Linked DNA regions of Schizosaccharomyces pombe. Changing the gene in region 1 together with any one later gene gives a genetic interaction. Each region holds a gene or a part of one and is shown in the gene's direction. Other genes may lie near its edges.

Region 1 (11,106 bases):
ATTTTTCATCCAAAGCCATCTTTTGACGTACGGAACGAATGCTCGTATCTTCCTGCAATGGGCGTTTATTGTTCCTCTGCTCTCCCAATCTCGTCGAGCCTTTACCGTTCCCTAAGTTGGCACACACTTTAGCGATTTCAAATTGTTGTGTTCTTTAAAGAAGATGTTTGATGCCTGTGACAAGGACCTAAAGAGCTTCTTTAAGCCTGTAATGAATATGGTAGAGGTGAAGCAACACCGGTCTTTGCTAATATTATAGTAATGAGAACAGGTAACAAAATGATAAAAATGTGAAGTTGGGTACAACATAAAGCAACAAAAATTTTATGAAAGATTAATTTATTACAAGTTATTTTCTGTTTCCGAATAAATTTTAAGCTAAATTATCTAGCTCTATGTATGGTAGATGGGGATCGGCGCTAGTTAAGCTTCATTTGTTTAAAAGCAACATTAATCTAAGGAGAGGATATCAGAATGCTTGTAGAATCTCGCGCATGTTAATAGTTTCACCTTGCACCATGAGAGAGCTTAAACCATTAAAGCGTCAAAGGAGCTGTAAATTCTACGGTTGCAATTTCAATTAAAGGGCAACTGAATAGGCACGCGATTAGGTCGAAAAACATTTGTAATATATTCCTTTCTGAAATGTTTTTTAAAAAAATGAAATTAACTTCAATGCTTTGGCCGGGAATCGAACCCGGGTCGAATCGATGGCAACGATTCATTATACCACTAAACCACCAAAGCTTATTGATATATTCCCTCTTTCTAATCATTTAGTAGGAGTTACCAGCATATATGCTCACGGTTGCTGTATTAACAATTATGAAAAAAGATATCCTACAAGTCCAATATATATAATAGATCTTTTTACATATTGGTTTTACGTGTCTTCGAATTAAGCTGTAAAGCAATATATTGTTAAAATATACCTACATTTTTAACGCTATTGGATTTAGACTATGTTTACGGGTAATTCAGAGTTTTGCCAATTTCTCAAATGATTTCATTAAGGCCAATACATATTTAATGATTAATTAAAAACTGGAAATGTGAAATCTCTACTCATTAATTTGATATTTAATGCGTGACTTTGTAAAATCTTGGTTTGACACAATTCTGCATCAAACATGCAAAAATTGTAGTTGAAGTCAAATCCTGGTTTTATAATCTTACCGCTGGTTATCTAATTTTAACTATATTAATAATAGGCATCTAATGTGGAGAACACTTGTAATTCACTGCACTTGTTAGCTCCTTTGTAAAGCTCCTGACATTTCTAGCAGGTCACTGTGATATGTGCCAATTTATAATCAATTCCACTTCTGCAAAATATAAAAAAAACTCCATCGGTATGTGTCTACACGAGAATGCACAGATGAATAGATTGAATACAGTGTGAACATTTCACAGCAAACTTAAACCGTAGTGATTACTCATAAATAAATTCCGTTTATTATTTAGCAAGGAATCTTGAATAATTTATTTATTCGCGATTGTTTGGGCTTTGTATTTGTAAAGATCTTTTTACCGATATGACCTACAGGTTATCGTTGTATTGAATGTAGCGTTTCGTTACTGCAACGAAAGTGTTAGACGCCTATCCTTTACCTACTCCACCAGAATAAATATATTATTAGAAGATGGTAAGATAATTAGCTGAATACTTCTAGTCCTCTTTTTTATTAACAAATTTGATAGGCGGGAGGAATTGAACTGGCCAAGAAGGCTATCAGGAGCCTCAAAAATTACGACGAGCATGAAAACCGATATGGATCTATTTTCAGCGTTTCTGGTCCTGGTAAGAAATCGTTAGTTGGAGCTTTCTACTAAACATTTACAGTCGTTGTTGCAGCCAATATGCTTGGATGTTCGATGTACGAACTCGTTCGCGTTGGTCATGAAGAACTAGTTGGTGAAGTAATTCGTATCCATCAAGATAAATGTACTATTCAAGTATACGAAGAGACGTCCGGTCTCACTGTTGGTGATCCTGTCCAACGCACTGGAAAGCCATTATCTGTTGAATTAGGTCCTGGTTTAGCTGAGACTATTTATGATGGTATCCAACGTCCGTTAAAGCAAATTTTCGACAAATCTCAAAGTATTTATATTCCTAGAGGTATTAATACAGAATCACTTAATCGTGAGCATAAGTGGGATTTCACACCAAATAAGGATTTACGCATTGGCGATCATGTATCCGGTGGTGATGTTTTCGGTTCTGTATTTGAAAACTCTCTTTTCAATGATCATAAAATTATGTTACCCCCTAGAGCCCGTGGTACCGTCACATATATTGCTGAAGCTGGATCATACCATGTTGATGAAAAACTTCTTGAAGTCGAGTTTAATGGCAAGAAACATTCTTTTAGTATGTTGCATACTTGGCCTGTCCGTGCTGCTCGTCCAGTTGCGGACAACTTAACTGCTAATCAACCTTTATTGACTGGTCAACGTGTTTTGGATGCGTTATACCCCTGTGTTCAAGGTGGCACTACTGCTATCCCCGGTGCCTTTGGTTGTGGTAAAACAGTTATTTCACAATCTCTTTCTAAGTACTCTAATTCTGATTTGATTGTTTACGTCGGTTGTGGTGAACGTGGAAACGAAATGGCAGAAGTGTTAATGGATTTCCCAGAACTAACAATTGATATTAATGGTAAACCAGAGCCCATTATGAAGCGTACTACATTGGTAGCCAACACTTCTAACATGCCTGTCGCTGCTCGTGAAGCTTCCATTTATACCGGTATTACACTTGCTGAATATTATCGTGATCAAGGTAAGAACGTTTCAATGATGGCTGATTCTACATCTCGTTGGGCTGAAGCTTTGCGTGAAATTTCTGGTCGTTTGGCTGAGATGCCTGCCGATTCTGGTTATCCCGCTTATTTGGGTGCCAAATTGGCTTCTTTTTACGAACGTGCTGGTCGTGCTCGTTGCTTGGGAAGTCCTGACCGTGAAGGAACAGTTTCAATTGTTGGAGCTGTTTCTCCTCCGGGTGGTGATTTTTCTGATCCTGTTACTAGTGCAACCTTGGGAATTGTTCAAGTCTTCTGGGGTTTGGACAAGAAATTGGCCCAACGTAAACACTTTCCCTCAATCAACACCTCTCTTTCCTATTCTAAATACATCAATGCTTTGCAACCTTGGTATGAGGAAAGAGTTCCAGGCTTTAATACTCTTCGTGATCAAATCAAACAGATCATTCAACAAGAAGATTCCATGTTGGAAATTATTCAGTTGGTTGGTAAGTCGGCTCTTTCTGAAACGGATAAAGTTACTTTGGACATAGCCGGTATTATTAAGAATGACTTCTTACAACAAAACGGTTATTCTGATTACGATCGCTGTTGCCCTCTTTACAAGACTTATCATATGATGCGAAACATGATTGCTTACTACACAAAGGCTAAAAGTGCCGTTGAAACTGGTAGCGTTCCTTGGTCAAAGATTAAAGAAAGTACTTCAGATATCTTTTATGAGTTAACCTCGATGAAATTCGAAAACCCTAATGAAGGCGAGAAGGAAATAGTCGAACACTATGAAACTCTGCACAAGAAGATTGAGGACAAGTTTCACACTCTGACTGAGTAATTATTTTTTGAACAACTAAGTTTTTAATTCTAGTTTTTGCTGGCTATAGACTACTAGCTTGATAATACAGACTTCCAGTAAACATTGCTTTCACGTTATCCAAATATATGTCCTAAGTAATTTTGCACATTAAATCGCGAATCAACCGCTTCTCGAAATAATATATTTACACAAATACAAGCCGTCTTCAACAAACTCTTTTGAAGAAATAAATTCAGTGATATAGTCAGTAGTTGTAAATTATGAGAAAAACAAAATAATGACTAGAAGGGATAGTAATAATAATAATAATAATAAAAACAGTAATAGTAATGACTAATCAGATTTAACTTTTTAAGGAGAAAAAGTATCTTTTTGGATATATCGTTAATAAATAAATAATAATCAGTTGAACAATCAATCATCCCCGTCACGGTCAAAAATATCCCAAAAATCTTGCTGATCCAAGTCTGCATCAGACAAAAAAGGAGACTTCGTTTCAGATGAAGAATCATTGGTGGAAGGCGTAGTTTCCTGGTCGTTTTTTAAAATTTCCTGAGCAGACAGGTCTTCAGCTGGATAATCGTGGTTGGAGGAAGAACCTCCAAACATAAACGGAATATTCAGTCCCAGTGCTGGGCCACCATGAATACGGCTAAAATAATCAAAATCAATAGTGACAGCACTGCCTAGCATAACTGCCCTTTCTTCTAAACTCATATCACGTGCACAAACATCATTAGCGATTCCATGAGCAGCTTGAAGCAATTGATTTTCATTTACAGAACCATTGGCTGCACTCGTAGAGGTAAATCGAAGAACGTAATTACCAGTATCAGTAAAAAATTCACGAGGAAGCCCCATGAAATTCCGTGAAACACTACCTAGGATGCGATCCTGCTCGTTTCGCAACAGAAACTCCCAACTTAGCACTCGCTCATCAATTTTGGCAAACTGTTCAAACATAGAACGCTTCGCAAGGAACAATTCATAGCGACGGCGCCATAAATGCCATTTTTGAAGGACTTCGCCAACTAAAGTAGACGAGAACTTACTGTAATCAATAGAATGAATTTGTAACCGGGAGTTTATCCAAGAAAATGGTCGATTGAGTTGTAACACCAACTGGCCGTTACTGTCCATTACATCTGCCTTAAACGCACGATGTGTGTGGAAAAATTGTCTTGATAAACTTGATAATATGGATGAGGCACCCTGTTCTGCAATGTATCCAAGATGCTGACCTTGTTGGTTAAGAATTACATAGCGGTTAGCCTGTTCATAACCAAGAAAAACATTCATCATTTCAAGTTGCCTCTCTACTATAAGAACATCTTGTGATAATAAAGGGGCCGCTGGAGAATTTAATGGAATAGCTCCAGTACTGCTAATGGCAGCAGGCTCTTGAGAGACTACTTTCGCTGTAGCGTCAATGTATCGTGTAGATTTGCTATGATGATAAAGGCGACATCCAAACCGTTTGAGCCCATAAAGCATAGTTAAATGATTACTGGAGACAAAGGTTTGAATTGGAGTAATGTTAGCCCATAGAATTTCAAGCATAGGTTTGAGAAATTAAAATTAGTTTGTGGTTCACCTATACCACAGAGGGTTGCTGAGACAAATATGTAATAAAGGCTGTGTAGTAAGTTTCACAATTTAAAATAGCACATACTATGCGATTACCTTAAAGCTTTACGAAATATAGGATACTACATTAAATTGCTTATGAACAGCTAACATTGCGGTAATTTCCTGTTTACTTTTGTTTACATTGAGAATTCCGAATTCTATAATTACCAACTAGACACATCACAATGATTGCACTTGAAAAACTTTCAGAAAAGAACAAAAGGAGCACTAAGAAGTGTGAAATTTCCATTTACGTAGGGAATTTACCTTCAACGTGCCAAAGCTCAGATCTTCATGAACTGTTTGAACCTTTCGGTAATCGTATATGAATAAACAATTTTTTCTCTAACTGTTTAAGGTAATTTCTCAAAATTCCACATGCTAAGTAGAAAGAAGAATAAGAGTACTGACTCTAAATCCCCAACTTTATTTGCATTTATCACATTTGAAAACAAATGTAGCGCTGACAACGCAATTGCCTCCTTAAACGGGAGTTCGTTCCAAGGAAATACTTTGTACGTAGATTTTAAAATAATAAACGCTAATAGAGCAACAATTATAGGAAGGTCGAGTATACGCATATCGTGGAGAGATACAAAAATAAGTTGGAAAATGGAGTTGACCAAATTCATCACTCGAATAATGAAAAAGCAAAAATTCGGTTTTCAAAAATAGAAAAGTATACAAAGGAAACACGACCGACAGTATCAGAGGTTCGAGTTAGTACCAAAGACAAAAAGGAATATTCGATGAATACCTCAAATTTAGTTCAATCAAACCCCCCAAAAGTGCACGACAAAGAGAATGCATTTGCAGAAGCAACAGGAACTAGTATACTTAGCTCAAAAGCAGTTCAAACACTCTTAGTTTCAGATTTCACGGAGAATGAGCCAAAGCATCTGTCTATCAGGCCAAATTGCAAAGATAATAATACACCGTCCATTTCTAACACTTTTATTGAGCCATATAAGGAAAATAACACGGAACATTTACACCTAAAATCTGCTTTTGAACCCTGTCAAATGATGCCAGGTATGCTTCTAGAACAGAATCCCCAATTTTTGTACGACAACCCTTCTATTTTTGTGATTGGGATTTTAAACCTTCCGTTGAAAGTATCACCAGTCGAGCTTTACAATGAGTTTAGCAATCATGGTCACATTCTCGGTGTAGCCATCAATCAAAGCATAAATGAAGATATGACTCACTACGCAGAAGTGGCTGTGAGCACCTATGAAAGTTGCATAGAGGTATTAAGCAAGCTATTTTTTGCTATAGCATTACTGACCTTTTAATTTAGATCATTGAAAAATTTCACGCCATTGCGTATGAAGGATCCATTTTACAACTTTTTATAAAACAACCTGTTCAGGGATTTTGCTCTAATTTGTTAAATCACCCAGAAGGAACCATGACAAATTTATTGCCCCCAAATATGGAAATGCCTCAGCCGTTTGAAATTCCAGTGATTGCCAAAACTTCTGCTTTGCCAAATCCATTTATTTCATTCCCTTCTTTCCAAACATCGTATGAAACGACAGTAACGCCAACACCAACCTCAACACCGACAATTGATCCTTGTAATTTATTTGTTAAAAACTTGGATGATAATATAGTAGGAAACACACAACAATTAGAAGAACTGTTTTCGAAATTTGGAAGGATAAAATCTTGCACTTTAGCGTCGTATCCCAGTACAGAAATATCCAAAGGCTATGGTTTCGTATCCTTCAGTCATCCATTTGAAGCTGTGCAAGCAATTAACACGTTAAATGGAGTGTTATTCGGAAAGAAAAGATTATTCGTGAATTATGCAGAAAAGAGAGAAGATCGCAAAAAGCGACTGAGTGCTATATTTAGCCAATCTTACCCTCCAGTTGTTCCATCGCCCTCTCTAACAATTCCAATGGCTACTGAACCACAAATTTTAGAGTATCATCAGGAATGGCCTCAACCTCTAATACAATCTATACAGCAGCACGGGTATAGCGATCCTAGACAAACATTACCAACTCGTTTAGATTCATGTGCCGCTAAGCTACGTGAAGCGGTGATTTCAAACGAAAACCTAAACCCAAGCCATAAATTCGGCATAAAACACTCCACATTCAAAACTTCACTATCGCCTTTAACCAACATTGTATTAAACCAATAAATAAAAGCAAGATATGTCTAAAGGACATAATATCAGTACCTGTCGTTTAAATATTTTAACAGTTCTTTTTTTTAATCTATCTCCCATGAAATTTAGGGACATAGTATTATACAAAGAAGATCGGAAAAAGTTGAAACACAAGGAGTCGTTAACAACGGTTGAAATTTCACATTTTAGCTCTGGAAAAGTATGTTTATTTTATAAAAGAAGAAAAGAAGAAAAAACCCCAAAAAAACAAGAATAATAAAAGATAATTGGACAGCTCTGCGAATATTTTTATTTTCTCAAAATATGAATACGCTCATTCTACATTAAATCACTCAATCTACACAAAAGGAATTAGTATAATAAAATAGTTTATAAAAAGAACATACTTATCTGCTTTTTTGACGATCATATAGCGAAGAACCGAAGGTTCAAGTCTCAGAATCCTCTGTATCTCAGATTGAACTGTGGGGTTACTGTAAAAGGTCATAGACCACCAGTGACCAAAAGAGTAAGATTGATTTAGTTTTTTTATAGGTTTAGCCAGTTCCTTAAGTCCCATGGACTCAACATCAACGACCACACCTTTGTTATCCAGGATTGCTCGACCACAATTTTTGGCAATATTCATGGCCAGAGTCTAAATTTATTAGTTCATGAATTCAAATTGTAAAACAGTATCTAGAAAGTAATGAGATAATGACTATCGCTTTGTGGTTCTTCAAAAAGCAAAAACGAGGTATTACCGCTAACTTACTGGTGAGGAAGTGCGTGTTGCATTTGCAGCTGGCCTAGTTATACAAAAAAGTTCATACATAACCATTATATTGCTATACTTTTCAAACTATCAAGAGTGCTTGTTATCGTGTGACCTTTTTACTAGCGTCTGTAAGTGAGAGGTTTGGCGGTACGCTAGGAAAAGAAGAGGTTTGAGTTAAGCACTAAAAACTTCTGTTTCGTAAATTACAGTCTAAAAAGAAAAGAATATATTAACATTAAAGTAAATATAAAGCAAACGTAAAGGAGAAAAACACGAAACGTTTGGGTCGTATATTTGTTACTTAACTTATTTAGCAAGATTCTCTTTATTAGATGAACGTGAAATTTACCAACTACAAGCAGTTACCAACAAAGGATATTTACAGCTATTAGCAGTATATCATCAAAGAAATCTTGATTTTTTTTGAAAGAAGATTGATCGAAAGAGTCAAACACGTTTTAGTCATCAATTGACTTCACATTTCTACTTGTTTGTTCTACAGCTAAAAAAAACACTACAGAACTTGAAATCTTTCTTCTCTTTTTTTCAGAAGTAAAATGGATAGGGAAGATATCTTAAAGGAATTTTGCAATCGCAATAATATTGACGTTAGTCAGGGCCGTTTTTTTTTAGAGTCCACGAATTGGAATTATGAATTGGCTACTGCACTTTTACATGAAGTAATACCTCCTGAAGAAGACCATGGGTTGCAACCTTCCAGTGATGTATCGAAAGTTCCTGAAGTTACTGGAAGCTCAAGTGGAATCAGTGGTGGTGATCAACAACCACCTCGACCGTTGCAAAGACAACAAAATACTCAAGGCCAAGGAATGAAGTCAGGAACTGCATCAAAAAAATTCGCCACGCTTAGGGATTTAGAGGGAAATGATGAAAGTGCAGAAGAGAAATCACATCTCTTTACTGGTGGTGAGAAGAGTGGGCTTTCTGTAGAAGACGGTGATCCTGATCCAAAGAAACAGTTGGTGCGCGATATTCTCGAAAAGGCACGTCAACACACAATATCTCCTTTAGATGAGCAAGATTCAGGTCCTTCTAGTCTTGCATCGTCTTGGGCTAGTGTCGGACAACGATTAGGCACAGAAAATGAGGCTTCTGGTTCGACCACTCCTGTAACGCAGTCAGGTCCTCCGCGTGAAAATCCTCCTACTGAGAGTCAACCAGAAAAGCCTTTACGTCGTACTTTGTACTTTTGGCGAAATGGTTTTAGTGTAGACGATGGTCCTATCTATACATATGACGATCCCGCTAATCAAGAAATGTTGCGTTATATAAATAGCGGTCGAGCACCTTTGCATCTTCTAGGAGTATCTATGAATCAACCAATTGATGTTGTAGTTCAGCATCGGATGGATGAGGATTATGTAGCGCCGTTCAAACCTTTTTCAGGCAAGGGACAACGTCTCGGTTCTACCTACATGCAACCACGAATGTCTCAAATGCCAGGTGGTCTTTACACTGATACTTCTACTTCTTCCTCTGTTCCTATAAATGTCAAACCCAATTCAACAACTCCGCATGCATCTTTACAGATTGACGAAAATAAACCCACCACGAGAATTCAAGTACGCTTATCAAATGGTGGAAGAACTGTCCTTACTGTCAATCTCTCGCATACACTTCATGATATCTATGAAGCTGTACGCGCCGTTTCACCAGGCAACTTCATCCTTTCCGTACCTTTCCCCGCAAAGACTCTCGAAGATGATCCGTCTGTCACTGTTGAAGCTGCTTCATTAAAAAATGCCTCACTTGTTCAAAAATCTCTGTAGTCTAAAAATAATAGGAAAAATAGTGATCCCCAGTTGACATAAGAGCCGTGGATTATTATATGAACATATGTGAGAGCTATTGAATATGGGAAGCATATTTCGGGTTGTCAGAAATCTGATTTCTATTTCTGAAAGGAAACCTTTTATTTATTTAATGATGTCCTATTAAATCATCAAAACAATTTCCAAGTTTGAGTATTTTATTGGTTATATCAGGATATGTAGCTCAGAGATAGTTGAAAACCGGAATTAAAAGTTATCACTATTATGGTTATTAATAAACATCTGTAGTTACCAAAGGACCTTTTTGAAAACATTGATTTTAAAAGAAATGCTATGATATGCTATCAACGTGGCACTAAGTATTAGCAAATTGACCTAAGATATACATAAACAAAAACTATTATTCATGAATGTAATTCCCATCAAACAATAATTAATGTTGGAGTTTGAAATATCAACCAACTTTTCTGCGCAAATACGTTTAGTCTTTACTGTTCAGTAAACCTTGACACAAGCAGTTAAGCATTGCAGCAAAGTCTGCTATTGTTTAGTGTAGTACTAATTTATGGGTTATTGTATTTATAGTGATGTTAACCAAAATTTGTAAGAAATCGTTACTACATCGAATCCATGATTTGATTCAACTTATCGCGAAGAGGGCATTTCCTAAGCGCACACCTCAAATACCTTCAATTTTGCTTCGATATCCCTAAGCAATCATGAAGATTGTTGATTTGATTGATAAAATTCCTAATGGAAACGCATTCTACTCATTTGAGTATTTTCCACCGAAAACCACAGTCGGTTTGGAAAATCTTTCTAGTCGTATAACGAGAATGTCGCGAAACATGATGCCATTATTTTCTAGTGTAACATGGGGTACAGCTGGTTCTACTGCGGAGGTCTCAATTTATTTAGCCAAAATGCTAGAGCAGCATCACAAAATCCCAGCTTGTTTACATTTGACGTGTACCAATGTAGATAAAGCCATAATCGATAAGGCTCTCGAAACTGCTAAGGAATATGGAATTCGTAACATCTTGGCCTTGCGAGGTGACCCGCCTTTAAATAGCGATCATTGGGAAGGAAAGGTTAGTGAGTTTGAGCACGCGGTGGATTTAGTACGATACATACGTGAAAAATATGGAGATTACTTTTGTATAGGTGTCGCTGCTTATCCTGAAGGTCATGTCGATTCCAAC
Region 2 (12,581 bases), 400 kb from region 1:
CAGTAATGATATTTGACAAAAATCAATCGGTAAAGAAAAGAAAGTTCGTACTAAAGGCTCTATATATACAAAAAAAATGCTGCTTTAAATATCACTCAAACCGAAACAATCGACTCTGTAAACAAACAGAAAAACAGTGCTTATTCGACAAAACATTCAAAAGTGTGGGGAAACTTTTATTAATCAGTTTCTTACTGGTTTAAACAAAATATAACAAGGCTGAGCAAAAAAAATAGGAGTCAAAGGCTTTACCAAAAGCTTGATGCGAGTGTTAACTCATTGAAGCGCACATCGTCCATCTTTTTTACTTGATGATCTACACATGATCATCTCTAACAATGAGGGAAGTTTTGCATTCAGATTATATGAGTTGTTTATACAAGTCGCATATGAACATTCTGAAACGAGGGTACGGAAATGATGGAATATACTTTAATAGTTTAAAGAGAGTTAAAATGAGTGCATCATCATATCTGGTATGCATTTTCGATTACAGGGAGAGGGTGGTACTGTAAAATTACCATTTTACAGCACGAAAACTCCTTTTGTTTATCAGTAGATTAAAAGGATACTCTCATTAGTAAGTTTAGTGGATTAAATAGTATTAACAGCATGTGCTTAAAAAATGTTGAAACATGTCGATGGCACTGTGATCGCATAATAATTCATTATGCTCATTGAAGTTAATATAAAACCAAAGGAAATCTAAGAGATTATAAGTCTCTTAGCTTTACTTAAAAGAGATTCTAAAATTCAAACTCTAAAGTGCGTCTGCAAACAGCTGTTTGCTGTAGCTGCTGGATTTATGAACCATGGTGAGGTGCGATTTGTAAACTAGAGAATGATAGCGAAACGCTCGTTAAAACGCCAATATCGCACTTTCTATGGACAGTATTATAAATTTGTAGTACAGCATCAAGCATAATATAATTCCCAGTAACTAACATAATGATCCCATTACTGTTAAATGTAATGTGTTATGGGTCAAAGCAAACAAGGCAAATTTGATAATGAACGAGATGATTTTTCGGTTCGGTTTCCAATTCGTTATTATAAACAGTCGTAACGGAGCGTCAAACCTTCATTTAGTAAAAAAAAAAAAAAAAAATTGACTAAGCAATACGAAATATCTATAGTAGATACATGCGTATTACTATTTTATATTATTGTTGAGCAAAGTGATAATGCAATAACGATGTTAACCGTAGTTCGGTAAAGACACATTCATACGATATTATATTCAATTTGTTTTGATTTACGATTTAGAGTTTTTAAACATAAGCAAACGAAGATCGGAATTAAACCAAAATAAATCTCGTGCCAAAAACAATAACTTCATAAGTAGAAGCTGTAGACACGTGAATAGAATATTTAAAGATGTTGTAATTGTTTTCCTGGGAGATTTCAAGAAGTGCTAACCGAAGCATGAGTAAACTAGGAGCTTTTCGATCACAGCAAGCAAGGCATGTCAGTTACTAGTCGTTGAAATTTTAGTAGGGTAAGCTTTAGCTTGATAGCGGTTGCTTGGAAAAAACAGTGTAACATTCAAAATCGGTTTCTTTTGAACCTGACAACATTACCGTAATAATTCAATCGCTCAATACGCCATTCGTGAAGGGTAGTAGCCTTTCTCTTACGAAGTTACTAAAAACTCAATTTTTTTTGTACCCTTAAGCGCTTACGAGTTCTTTTCTTCAACTTATTGCTACTCGAATAATAAATGTTAAACATATCTCGACTTGCTTTTCAGTTCGTTGATCCTCGCTATTTACAGTTTGTAACAAGTTAACTCGTCTATGAAGTCATCGATAGAAGGGCTTTAAAGTGTGCTATTTGCGAAACAACAGCAAATTTGTAGACTAGCACTTTACAAAAGTCTACTATCGTATTGCCGGTTCAAACTAAAATTTATGACCTCAGTTTCTACTAAATATAGTACGAATCATGATTAAATTGAGGTTAACAAAAGATGCGAAAGTAGGGTGTTGCTTCCTAATTTTTGGATTGTTAAACAACCTTCTCTACGTGATAATTTTATCCGCTGCCTTAGATTTGGTTGGCGCAAACGTTTCTAAGGGTGTGGTACTACTTTCTAATATTGTTCCTTCTTTGGCGTGCAAGTTGTCAGCATCAATTCTTCATGTTCATAAATTTAAGTTTGCAAAGAGAATCGGTTTTTGTGTTTTCATGTCCATATTAGGAATGCAATGGATTGCTTGGTCTTCCTCCGTCCCTTCGAAAATGCTTGGTGTATCTCTGGCAGCCATTTCATCGAGTTTTGGCGAAATCTCTTTCTTGCATCTATCAAGTCGTTATCACTCTGTGTCTTTACCGTGCTGGAGTTCCGGAACAGGCTTGGCCGGTCTCTTTGGTGCATCTTCCTATTTGGTTATGACTACATGGTTTAACTTCTCGGTACGCAGCACACTTATTATCTCTAGCTTTCTGCCGCTTTTCCTTTTGATCATGTACTTTTTTGTGTTGCCAGAGTCTGAATCTACATCACCTTCAATTAACAACAATTATACGCCAATTGAATCTATTGATCTTCGAGCAGGGCACGTTTCATTCAATTTCGTTAATTCTTTGAAGCAAACATTCATATTCATGCAACCATACCTTCTTAGTCATATGTTTCCGCAGTTCCTTGTATACTTCTCAGAATATACTATCAATATTGGTGTAGCTCCCACTCTTTTATTCCCGCCCGAAAAAGCTGGCTTTTCTTCGTTTAGGGATTTTTATCCTACTTACCAAACTGTTTACCAGATTGGTGTTTTCCTATCGCGATCCTCCATTTCATTTTTTACTGTCCCATATTTGCGCACATTGGCAATAACACAGTTCATTATCCTTCTATTTACTATACTACAGTCGGCCCTATATCTTACTTCCAGCTATCATTTTGTACTATTCCTCATATTCGTTGAGGGTCTTATTGGTGGTACCGTTTATGTGAACGTGTATCATAGTTTGCAGACTACGGAGAGTAGTCAGCGTGAACTAGCTATTAGTACTGTTGGCTCTTCAGATAGCTCTGGAATTTTTTTAGCTTCATTGGTATCACTATTCCTTGAACCCTCCTTGTGCCATTTCCAAGCTGATCGTGGCCGAGATTGGTGTGCCTTAACTTGAAATAGTGAGTGCGCACATCTCCATTATATTGAGAGTTAACCTATGACGTTTCTTCCATTAGTGTGCTAAGTGCTTCAATATCAAGTTTGCTTTACGACCATTTTCTTTCAACTATTGTTTACTTTTTTAGTTCTTAATAGGTTTGCTTTGAAAGAAGAAGTTTTTCATTCCTAATTCCTGATACCAGAAGTTCTTAAACTTTTGGTGCACAATTACTTTCTGCTGTGCATTCTATGCGAATCATATCAAAACATACATTACTTAATTTTTTCCTTTTCATATCTTCCTTCTTTTAGATAATATGGCAGAACAGAAAATCATATCCTTATTTGACGATGATGCTTGTACTCGTTATACAATTTTAATTGCTAGTACAATTGGTGAAATGCGAGAGAAGAAAGAGTCAATAATCGATAACACGGATCCTGAAATAGTAAAATATCTTTCTCAATTATTGGACGTCTTTAGAGAAAACTTCGACACTTGGGCAATGGCAGTTGTAAATCGCACAGGTTGCGCACTGGATCCCTCTACTCCAAAGGATCAAGTAGAAGTAAAAAAATTTCGGCAGTTTTCCGAAACAGAGAAAAGCGAGTGCTTTATTAAATGTCTACTGTTATTGATTCTTTCATTGGGTAATTATTCTCCTTATTCCCGTAATTTATTATATAGTATTGCAGAGAAGTTGGGCTTGTCCTCTATCGTGGTTTATAAGGCTGAGCTTATCACCTCTTCTATGCTTTTAGATACTTTTCAAACTATGGAAAGCAATCAAGAAATGTATGAACTTTCGGGCACCCGAAAAATGAGAAGACGGATTGCAATGGGTCTCGCTGGACTGGCAGGTGGAGCTCTTATTGGGTTAACAGGTGGACTAGCTGCACCTTTTGTTGCAGCTGGGTTAGGGACGTTATTTGCTGGTCTAGGTTTGGGAACTATGATTGGAGCAACCTATCTTGGCACTTTGATTACTTCGGCACCAATGATCACTGCTCTGTTTGGAGGCTTTGGAGCCAAAATGAGTATGCAACAGATGGGGGATGTATCTAAGGGACTCACTGATTTTGAATTCATACCTCTCAGTGTGCAATCGCATTTACCGGTTACCATTGGAATCTCAGGATGGCTTGGGGATTATAACGAAGTAGACGCTGCTTGGAAATCTTTAACTGTTGGAGATAAAAGTTATTATTGGGGAGACATATATGCTTTGAAATTTGAAGTTGAAGCTTTAGTTGATCTTGGAAAATCTCTTTCCAGAATCTTATTTTCTGCTGGACTTGGCTGGGTAAAGGGAGAGGTTATTAGTAGAACGATATTAGCTCCTCTTGCTGCTGCTTTATGGCCTTTATCACTTTTGAAAGTCGGAAATATTTTAGGCAATTCCTGGAGAATTGCATTTAATTTATCCATCAAAGCCGGTGAAGCTTTAGCCAATGCGCTTTGTGTTAGAGCTCAGGGTATGCGTCCAGTGACTTTAATTGGGTTTTCGCTTGGTGCACGTACAATTCTTGAGTGTTTACTACATTTGGCTGACCGTGGTGAGACGAATCTAGTTGAAAATGTGATAGTAATGGGCGCCCCTATGCCGACTGACGCTAAGTTATGGCTTAAAATGAGATGCGTTGTCGCTGGGAGATTCGTAAATGTCTATTCTGCTTCTGATTATGTACTACAATTAGTGTATCGTGTCAACAGTGCGCAATCTACGGCTGCTGGTCTTGGACCAGTTTCTCTTGATTCAAATACTTTAGAAAATGTCGATGTGGGGGATCTTGTTGAAGGTCATTTGCAGTATAGATGGTTGGTTGCCAAAATTTTGAAAGAACGTCTTGGGTATGATAACATTTCTGATGCTGAGATTCAATCGCTTGCAGTACAGGAAGAAAAATACGAATCGAAGCAAAGAACCTATTATTCTCAAAAAGAGCAAGAAGAGGAAATTGAGCAAGAAGTACTTTTTGACGCCTCTAGCGATACTGAGTTAGCTATACAGAAGAAAGAAGATGAGGTGAATGAGGTACGAGAAAATAAAAAGTGAGGAAAAAAATTCAAAATGTTTAACATCATTGAATTACACGAAAACATGTTTTATTATATTTTGTTTTAATGATAATAACGGACTCCCAAATTTGCGTTAAATTGTTATAAGGACATTCAAGGGAAATTTGATCTTTAAAGCACCTCATTACTCTCTTTTGGATTTTGCACCATCTTGCGTACTTAATTTTGTTGTATTGTACCCCAAGTTTCTTCTTTCTAATTTTCAAACGTTGAAAGAAAATTTTATGAAAACTGTTTGAAAAATTCTTTTAGATAAATTGGTTCATCATGGGGACGTTTGGCATTGTAGCATTGTCAATTATATGCTCGATTGCTTTCTTATTTGTTGCATATGGTGTCTTACGACTAATTAATTCTATTCGGAGAAGAAATATGATGACAGCTGATGTTAGTTCTGTAAAGTCTTCTCAAACCTGGAACTTTCTGAAGAACCCTTTTTCCAATTCCGCTAAGTTTGAAGCCTTGGATGCAGACGACATGTGGGATACAAGGGTTGAAGAAGCAGAGCTTAATACTATTCCTTCTGCTTCTCCATTTATAGATCACACATCAGAGACAGTACCTTTTGTAAATACCGAAGCCCCTCCTCCCAGACTGTCTTCATCTTTCTCACGACAAAGTGGTGAAAATGCAGAGACTCAAAGTCAAGTATCCGCATCTCCATTCAATGACAAAAACTCTCCATATGTACAAGAATAAAGCGATTAAGTTCTTAAACCTAGTCCTCTTTTTTAGGCCGGTGTATCTATCGTCATGCGTACATATTTGATACTAAGGACGTGCTTTGATCCTGAAAGTATCGCTTTTACTCTGCTAGATTTTTCTGTAAATCTTGAGCCATAACATACACAATCATCGTTTAATAAGTTTTGCACTCCTCTTTTTCTAAATATTTATTTACAATCATTAAAATAAATAATCCATTAATTCATTGTACTTATATAAGTCTTCAATAGTTAATTTGGACGTCTACTGTCTCCGTAAAGCATACAAAAGTTTATTATTCAGCTAGAATTTTAAATAATTATTGGTCTCTCAGTATACCCACTGCCAAAGACTCAATCAACCGATGCTGTAATTTTATTGTTCAAAAAACGCGATTATATTATGTTTTGTATTTTATATGATGTCGTGTATATTAAATTTATAAATTTGAATAAATATGTAAATAATTTATATGTTTTGTGACATTAGTCTAAGTCAATTCGAAATAAATATAGAATGTACTGCACACGCGTTTGTCAAGAGCCAGCATGAGTCAGATCATTTTAGACAATATATCCCAAAACGAAACTGTATACAATGTACGAGTGTTTTCAATGTTATTTTCATAATTGTACTAATATAGATGCCTAATTTTAGAGATTTGTTATTATACATGGTAGAGTTGGACCTCGTGCAAGTTATTGCCCACAAACAATCAATGTGAAGCATCACGAAAATTCATTTCCAGAACAAACATGGGTAGTTACAGACTTATATTTTAAAGCTATCATTCACGTCGTTCCCGGAGACAATACCATACTATTTACTACGGACGATGGAGGTAAACTAGAATTGCAGGTTTATTACCAATTACTTGTTGATAATCCTTTCTATTGTATCGCCTTTATAGTTGGAAAAGACTCAGACCTTTCATTTGATGCACCTCACGGTGCCAAAAATGATATTGATGAGGGCATCCGTAAACTCAGATGCGCTGCTTACTTATGGCAAGCTTTCACCGCTGAATGTATGTATAGAAATGGTTATGGAAGACGTTCTTTTAGAATTGAGGAAAGTGTGCAACCCGACACAATGTCTTGTTTGTCCCCTTGGGGCACCGAAAGGTTAACAGCCACTATAAATATTCTGCGAAGTGATAAAACAGCAGAAGAGATTCGATCGGTTCCTCCAGATCAATTGTTTCATATAGCTGGAGATGCTGTCGACAAACTACATCTTCCTGAGCCTTGGCATTATATGTGCATGTTCTTGGATACACGATATGATCCTTCTACTCAAAAAATTCGTGGACATGTAGCTTTAGGTGGAGGTACAGACATGCACAAACTTGGAGTGTTTGGTTCCCATTCGTTACATTCTTTTCCTAGTGCACTTGAGTATGTTGTACCTGTCTTTAGTGATGCCCGTAGAATCCCTTCTTACTTGGCAAATGATGCAAATGAAAGTTCTACGATTTGGGAATGTGCGAATATAGGGATAGGCGCTATGCTTCATGAGTTAGGACATACACTTGGTTGTCCTCATCAACCAGATGGAATCATGTTGCGATCATATCCAATATTTAACCGCAGTTTTACGACAAGAGAATTTGAATGTGTTAGAACTGGAAGTAAAGGTCTTGCCCCAGTGCTTGCAAAAGATGAATGTTCTTGGCACCATCTTGACATGTTAAGGTTTTTTTATCATCCGTGCTTTAAACTACCTTCAGACCCTACATATCCGTCGGACATTGAAACGAACTACTTTGTTAAAGGAGAAACTATCACATTTGTCAATTCGACTGGAATCTTTTTAATTGAAATTGAATACAATGGACAGACCAAGGGCTGGAAGGAGTTTAATCCTCCAGTCGGAGAAGCTTCTTTAACTGATGCTGAAATACGCTCTCTTTCAAATGCAAGCTCCAATCAAGATTATCGTGTTCGCGTTCTATCCAGAAATTTCAAATGTATTGATTTAAACAATGTACCTGAAATTATAAAAAATGCGAAGGTTGAATCGTCTTTTGGAACTGTTTATCGATCTGAAAGATATGGTTTGCGAGGTTGTAATGGGAAAGAGTTATCAAATATTTTAATAGCACCTGAAAAGTTTAAGCCTACTAAAATTCGTGTTCATTGTGGTTTAGCTTTGGATGGAATTGAAGTATTTTTTGGTGATGAATCAGTTCTTCTTGGTAACCGTGGTGGAAGCCCTCACGATTTTGAAATACAAGGCTCCCAAATTGTAGGCTTTCAAATACGTTGTGGAGCCTGGGTGGATGGGATATCCATTGTTTTAGAAAATGGTAAAACAAGTCCATTTTATGGAAATGCTAACGGGGGTGGGTTGAAAAGCTATTTAGTCCCAAAAGGTTTTCAATTAGTCGGGTTTTATGGCACATTAGGGGTAAGTTTTTTTTTATATTATTGATCTAACATTAATAGCCATTCATGGATTCAATTGGGTTTTTTATTAAGTAGCTTGAATTCTGAATACTAATTGAATACAATTGCTTAAGGAGAATGAAATTACGTACCATGTTTACAACTAATAAAATTACTACACTGAAATGTATAATAATGTATAGAAAAATAGTTCTATTTACTTTATAGCATGTCTTGTCTTTTAAACAATGAGTTTTGTAGTCATCAAACGAAAACACCTTTTCCAGAAATTTCAACCACATTAGAAAGGTTCTTAATATTTTGGTTCCATTCTCGTAGACGAGATTCCATGCTTGCAATTTGCGAGTGATTTAAAATTCTAGATTGGACGGAAGAAATGGTGACAATTTGGGTAACCTCATCTATAACACCTGTTATAAGCCCTACGCTTAAAGCACGCATAATGAGTAACTCAACTTCATTAGAAGGAATACGGGTTGCACGAGCAATTGTATCAAATGTTAAAGTACGCTGATTTGGAGGTAATTGGAAGACCAACTCAATGAGGGCCATTAAACGAATTTTTTGACCTAGTAAAGCAACCGAACTTTGCAGTAAAGGCATTTTGTTAATTTGCCCCATTAAGCGTTCAAACAAAGGTAAATCTCCGACATTCATGGCGATGACTAAATCATGTAACCACTCGTGCTGTGTACCTACTAGCAACTCGAAAACAGGATGTAATAATAATTCACCAAAATTATAAATATCACCGAGTATTGCGGCAACACTTAGATCCACCGCTCTTTCAACTAACTCGGTATGAGAGCATTTATCGAGGTCGATGCAAGATAAATACAATAGACAATGACGATAGTATTGAGCATAATCAGCCTTTGCCTTGTAGTAGTCTGCACTGACGCTATAATATGAAGAATGAATAAGACTTTCTACGTAATCAATGTGGTCGATAATTTTTGAGGCTTTGACAAGTAGTTCCCGGGCTTCATCCAACTTACCACTAATCAGCTTGATGCGAGCAATGGCAACAATGGAATATACATAGGCATCTTTATATTTCTCTTCATCCAATTCGTTAACAATTTGGTTTAAATTACGAAGGGCTTCGTCGTTAGAACATGACTCAAAAGCCTTTAAGCCCATGTACACTGCTTTGAGTTGATTGATATTAGGTCGAAATGAGTTGACAAAGTTCGTATACAAAGGAAGCCTTAAAGGTACTGTTTCTGGGGTATCAAAGAAAACAATCAAAGCATCTGTAAGTTGTTTCCATAATCTGGCGTCAGTTAATGTAAAGTTCATTTTCTTCTAAAGCACTTTTACAACATACTTCCTTTCATAAAGGTCTTCCATTAAAATATAGGATTGCTGAAGGCTTTCTGGAGCTCTTGTAGCTTGATCGTGTAAAAAATCAGACATATTGACAGACATTTCGGTATCCATGATGAAATCCTTCGTGGAGTAGTTGTTTGCTGATGGCAAGTGCTCAAGTCATATTACTACTGTTTGAAACTTTAGGTAAATGGAGAAATATAAGCATATTTATTTTATTTTCATTATGTTAGTTAAAATTATTATTAAAAAAAAAGTTAAAGCGTATTTGAAAGCATATAAGTAAAGCATGCTTTAGTAACCTCTATGAAAACAACGCAAGGTATAAAGCAAACTTCTATAAGTAAACGAACTATTTTATTAAGAGAAAACTGACTGTTTTTTAAGTAGTTCGTTTGTGGAATAAGATCTTTATCTTACCAAAAATAAAAAGGGTAGATAACCTTTCTGAAAATTTTCATAAAATAAACGAAGAATAAAAATTATTTTCTTTTCTATAACAAATCAATACTTCACGATCACTCAAAAAAATAAATAAGGTATCATTTTTATAATAGTTATAGTGGAATACTATACAGATAAATTAATTAGCTTTAACCAGCAATGATTAAAAAAATTACTTTTCTTTTAAAGGAATTTATCATGTCAGTATTCAATTATTCATTCTTCAGGAGCATCGCAAAACAGTGAATTAAGTTTTTAACCCCAATTAATGTGTTATGGTCTATAGTGTTTTTCGTCCATCTAGAATGTGCCAAATCTATCAGCTTGAGAACTACATTGCTTTCACAATGATACGTTGGATTTAGGGAAGAGTAATCATAAACGAAAAGAATACTAGAAGATTTTAATTCAATATAAGACTCAGAAAGATCAACTTCAAATAATTTCAATAAATTAAGGAAGCTTTCAACCAACCTTGCTTTTTGAGAAAGAGAGCAAGAGACAAAAAAATCATTTAAGCCTTCTACGACATCTGAATCCGTAAGGGTTTTACCCCAAGCTGTTGATCGTTTAATGTACGTATTGTTTGTTCTGTCCCACGACAATATACCAGTTATACGAAATCCAAGACTACCACTCGTCGTACTTCTGGAAACGGCATCTAATCTTTTTCGTTTTTCAAGAGGAGCGTCATCGGCCCACAACTGTTTTCCTAATTTGATATCCATGACACAAGGAGTTTCCATCTGATACAGAATATTTTCTAAGATTATAGCTTTTCCAGTTAAGGAAAAAGCAACACTTTCTGCGATCGGGTTGATACCCTCAATGTCTCTACTAGAAGGCATCCACTCACCGAAATTCTTAGGAATCCAGTTGTAGAGCGTAATATTGTCGTTACATGTTTTATAAAAATCAACTTCACTTTTAATGCATGGCTTAATTAGAATTTTATCATCCTCACTGACTAGTACTTGGCCATGACCAGCAGCTTGAAATGGAAACAGTTTTAGTTTCATCAAGAGTTAAAGAAAAAATCCGCTAGTACATGTTTTTTCGTCAAAAGTATATTTCTTGAAAATTGCAATACGCGTTTAGCAATATGCTGAAGCGTTATTTTCGATGTGACAGCTGTTGGGTAAGCGGAATGTAGAATGAATTGAAATAGTGTAGAGCTATATCAACCACTTCCACTGCTTGCACGAACATGCAGGTTATATGAGCTGAATAAATAAGTGTAAAATTTTATCTAATAATATAAAACAATGAATTTCCTAAACACATATCCAAATGTGTATGTACTCGCTGTTAATTTATTCAGCTTTTTTTACAGTAGATAAAGTTGTAGCCTGGAGATCGAAGTATGAATTTAACAGAAAGTATAAACTTTTTTGGATATTATTTAGAAAGTGTTTTGCAAAGTTTTTATAAATTATAATATTATTAAAAACCTATATTCCAAACCACTAAGGGAAAATATTTTAGCTAAATTACAATTTACACACTTTCAATAGTATGTACCAGGGCTTTTTTTTTTTTTTTTTTTTTTTTTTTTTTTTTAGGACAAATTATATGTACTTTGCTAAAATTTAAAAGTTAAATAGTAGATTATTAGCAACTTCTTTTTTGCTAAGTCCATAGACTATATAACAATACAGCTCTCAATCAGATATGCAGTTCCAACTTTTTTTAATGTTATTATATTCTGTTAAATATGGTAAACAATGTCCAATTGAAGAATGCCTGCTCAATAGAAATAAACTCACCAATCTGATTTATAGTTTTGAGTCCTCCATATTCATAGTGTAATGCCAAGAAACAATTAAGATTATTAATGTGCATAAATTTCTTAGAATTCCAAATTTAAGCAAATTTGGATTAATTTTCCAAGTTACATTGATCGAAGGATCGACTAACGTTGATGTTGTTACTTGTACTTTTGGACTACAGCTAAAGTGAAGTTTACTAAAGAAAATTTCTTAGCAAGGGCGAGCAACCACCATTGTAGGTCAGATACTACTTTTTACAGCAAGGAACCCGAAAAAATGTCAGTTAACCCAAAGGTATGTTAATAATGGTATAAGACTTCTTCTTTGGCTACGAAATAGCTGAAAGCATGCTAGTTTCAAATGCTAGTTTCGTCGGCAATTTTATTACGGAAAATGAACTTTTCCGAAATTTATATTCGTTTTATTGCATACTAACATTGTTAGGCCTTTCCTTTAGCCGATTCTGGCTTAACCCAACAAATTCTCGACTTGGTACAACAGGCCTCTCATTACAAGCAGCTTCGCAAAGGTGCAAATGAGGCTACCAAAACCTTGAACCGTGGTATTAGTGAATTTATAGTAATGGCGGCTGATACCGAGCCCATAGAGATTTTATTGCATCTGCCATTGCTTTGTGAGGACAAGAATGTGCCTTATGTTTTTGTTCCTAGCAAGGCTGCTTTGGGACGTGCTTGTGGTGTAAGTAGACCGGTGATTTCAGCCA

Evidence for each region.
Region 2: mutations in vma1 (region 1) and btn1 are lethal when combined (synthetic lethality), as found in Schizosaccharomyces pombe (one study listed by BioGRID).

Annotation. Positions count from the first base shown.
Region 1 is NC_003424.3:1,645,616-1,656,721, forward strand, and holds vma1 (V-type ATPase V1 domain-containing subunit A), read left to right. Parts: upstream 1-1,602; 5' UTR 1,603-1,643; coding exon 1,644-1,646; intron 1,647-1,701; coding exon 1,702-1,801; intron 1,802-1,843; coding exon 1,844-3,600; 3' UTR 3,601-3,795; downstream 3,796-11,106. Other genes in the region: gid7 (WD repeat-containing protein), read right to left, coding at 1-19; pls1 (phospholipid scramblase), read right to left, coding at 3,997-5,142; mug28 (RNA-binding protein Mug28, implicated in mRNA processing), read left to right, coding at 5,397-5,526, 5,570-5,726, 5,774-6,461, 6,512-7,366; mrp17 (mitochondrial 37S ribosomal protein bS6m), read right to left, coding at 7,673-7,691, 7,741-7,991, 8,109-8,174; UBX domain-containing protein Ubx3, read left to right, coding at 8,669-9,901; methylenetetrahydrofolate reductase Met11, read left to right, coding at 10,624-11,106.
Region 2 is NC_003424.3:2,041,016-2,053,596, reverse strand, and holds btn1 (battenin CLN3 family protein), read left to right. Parts: upstream 1-1,848; 5' UTR 1,849-1,944; coding exon 1,945-3,135; downstream 3,136-12,581. Other genes in the region: protein Mil1, read left to right, coding at 3,437-5,176; SPOM_SPAC607.07C (uncharacterized protein), read left to right, coding at 5,467-5,898; SPOM_SPAC607.06C (metallopeptidase), read left to right, coding at 6,453-6,503, 6,562-8,313, 8,352-8,387; 19S proteasome regulatory subunit Rpn9, read right to left, coding at 8,556-9,588, 9,643-9,755; arg82 (inositol polyphosphate kinase), read right to left, coding at 10,301-11,107; U3 snoRNP-associated protein Snu13, read left to right, coding at 12,134-12,151, 12,302-12,581. UniProt on the Schizosaccharomyces pombe protein: Involved in vacuolar transport and vacuole pH homeostasis. Also required for cytokinesis.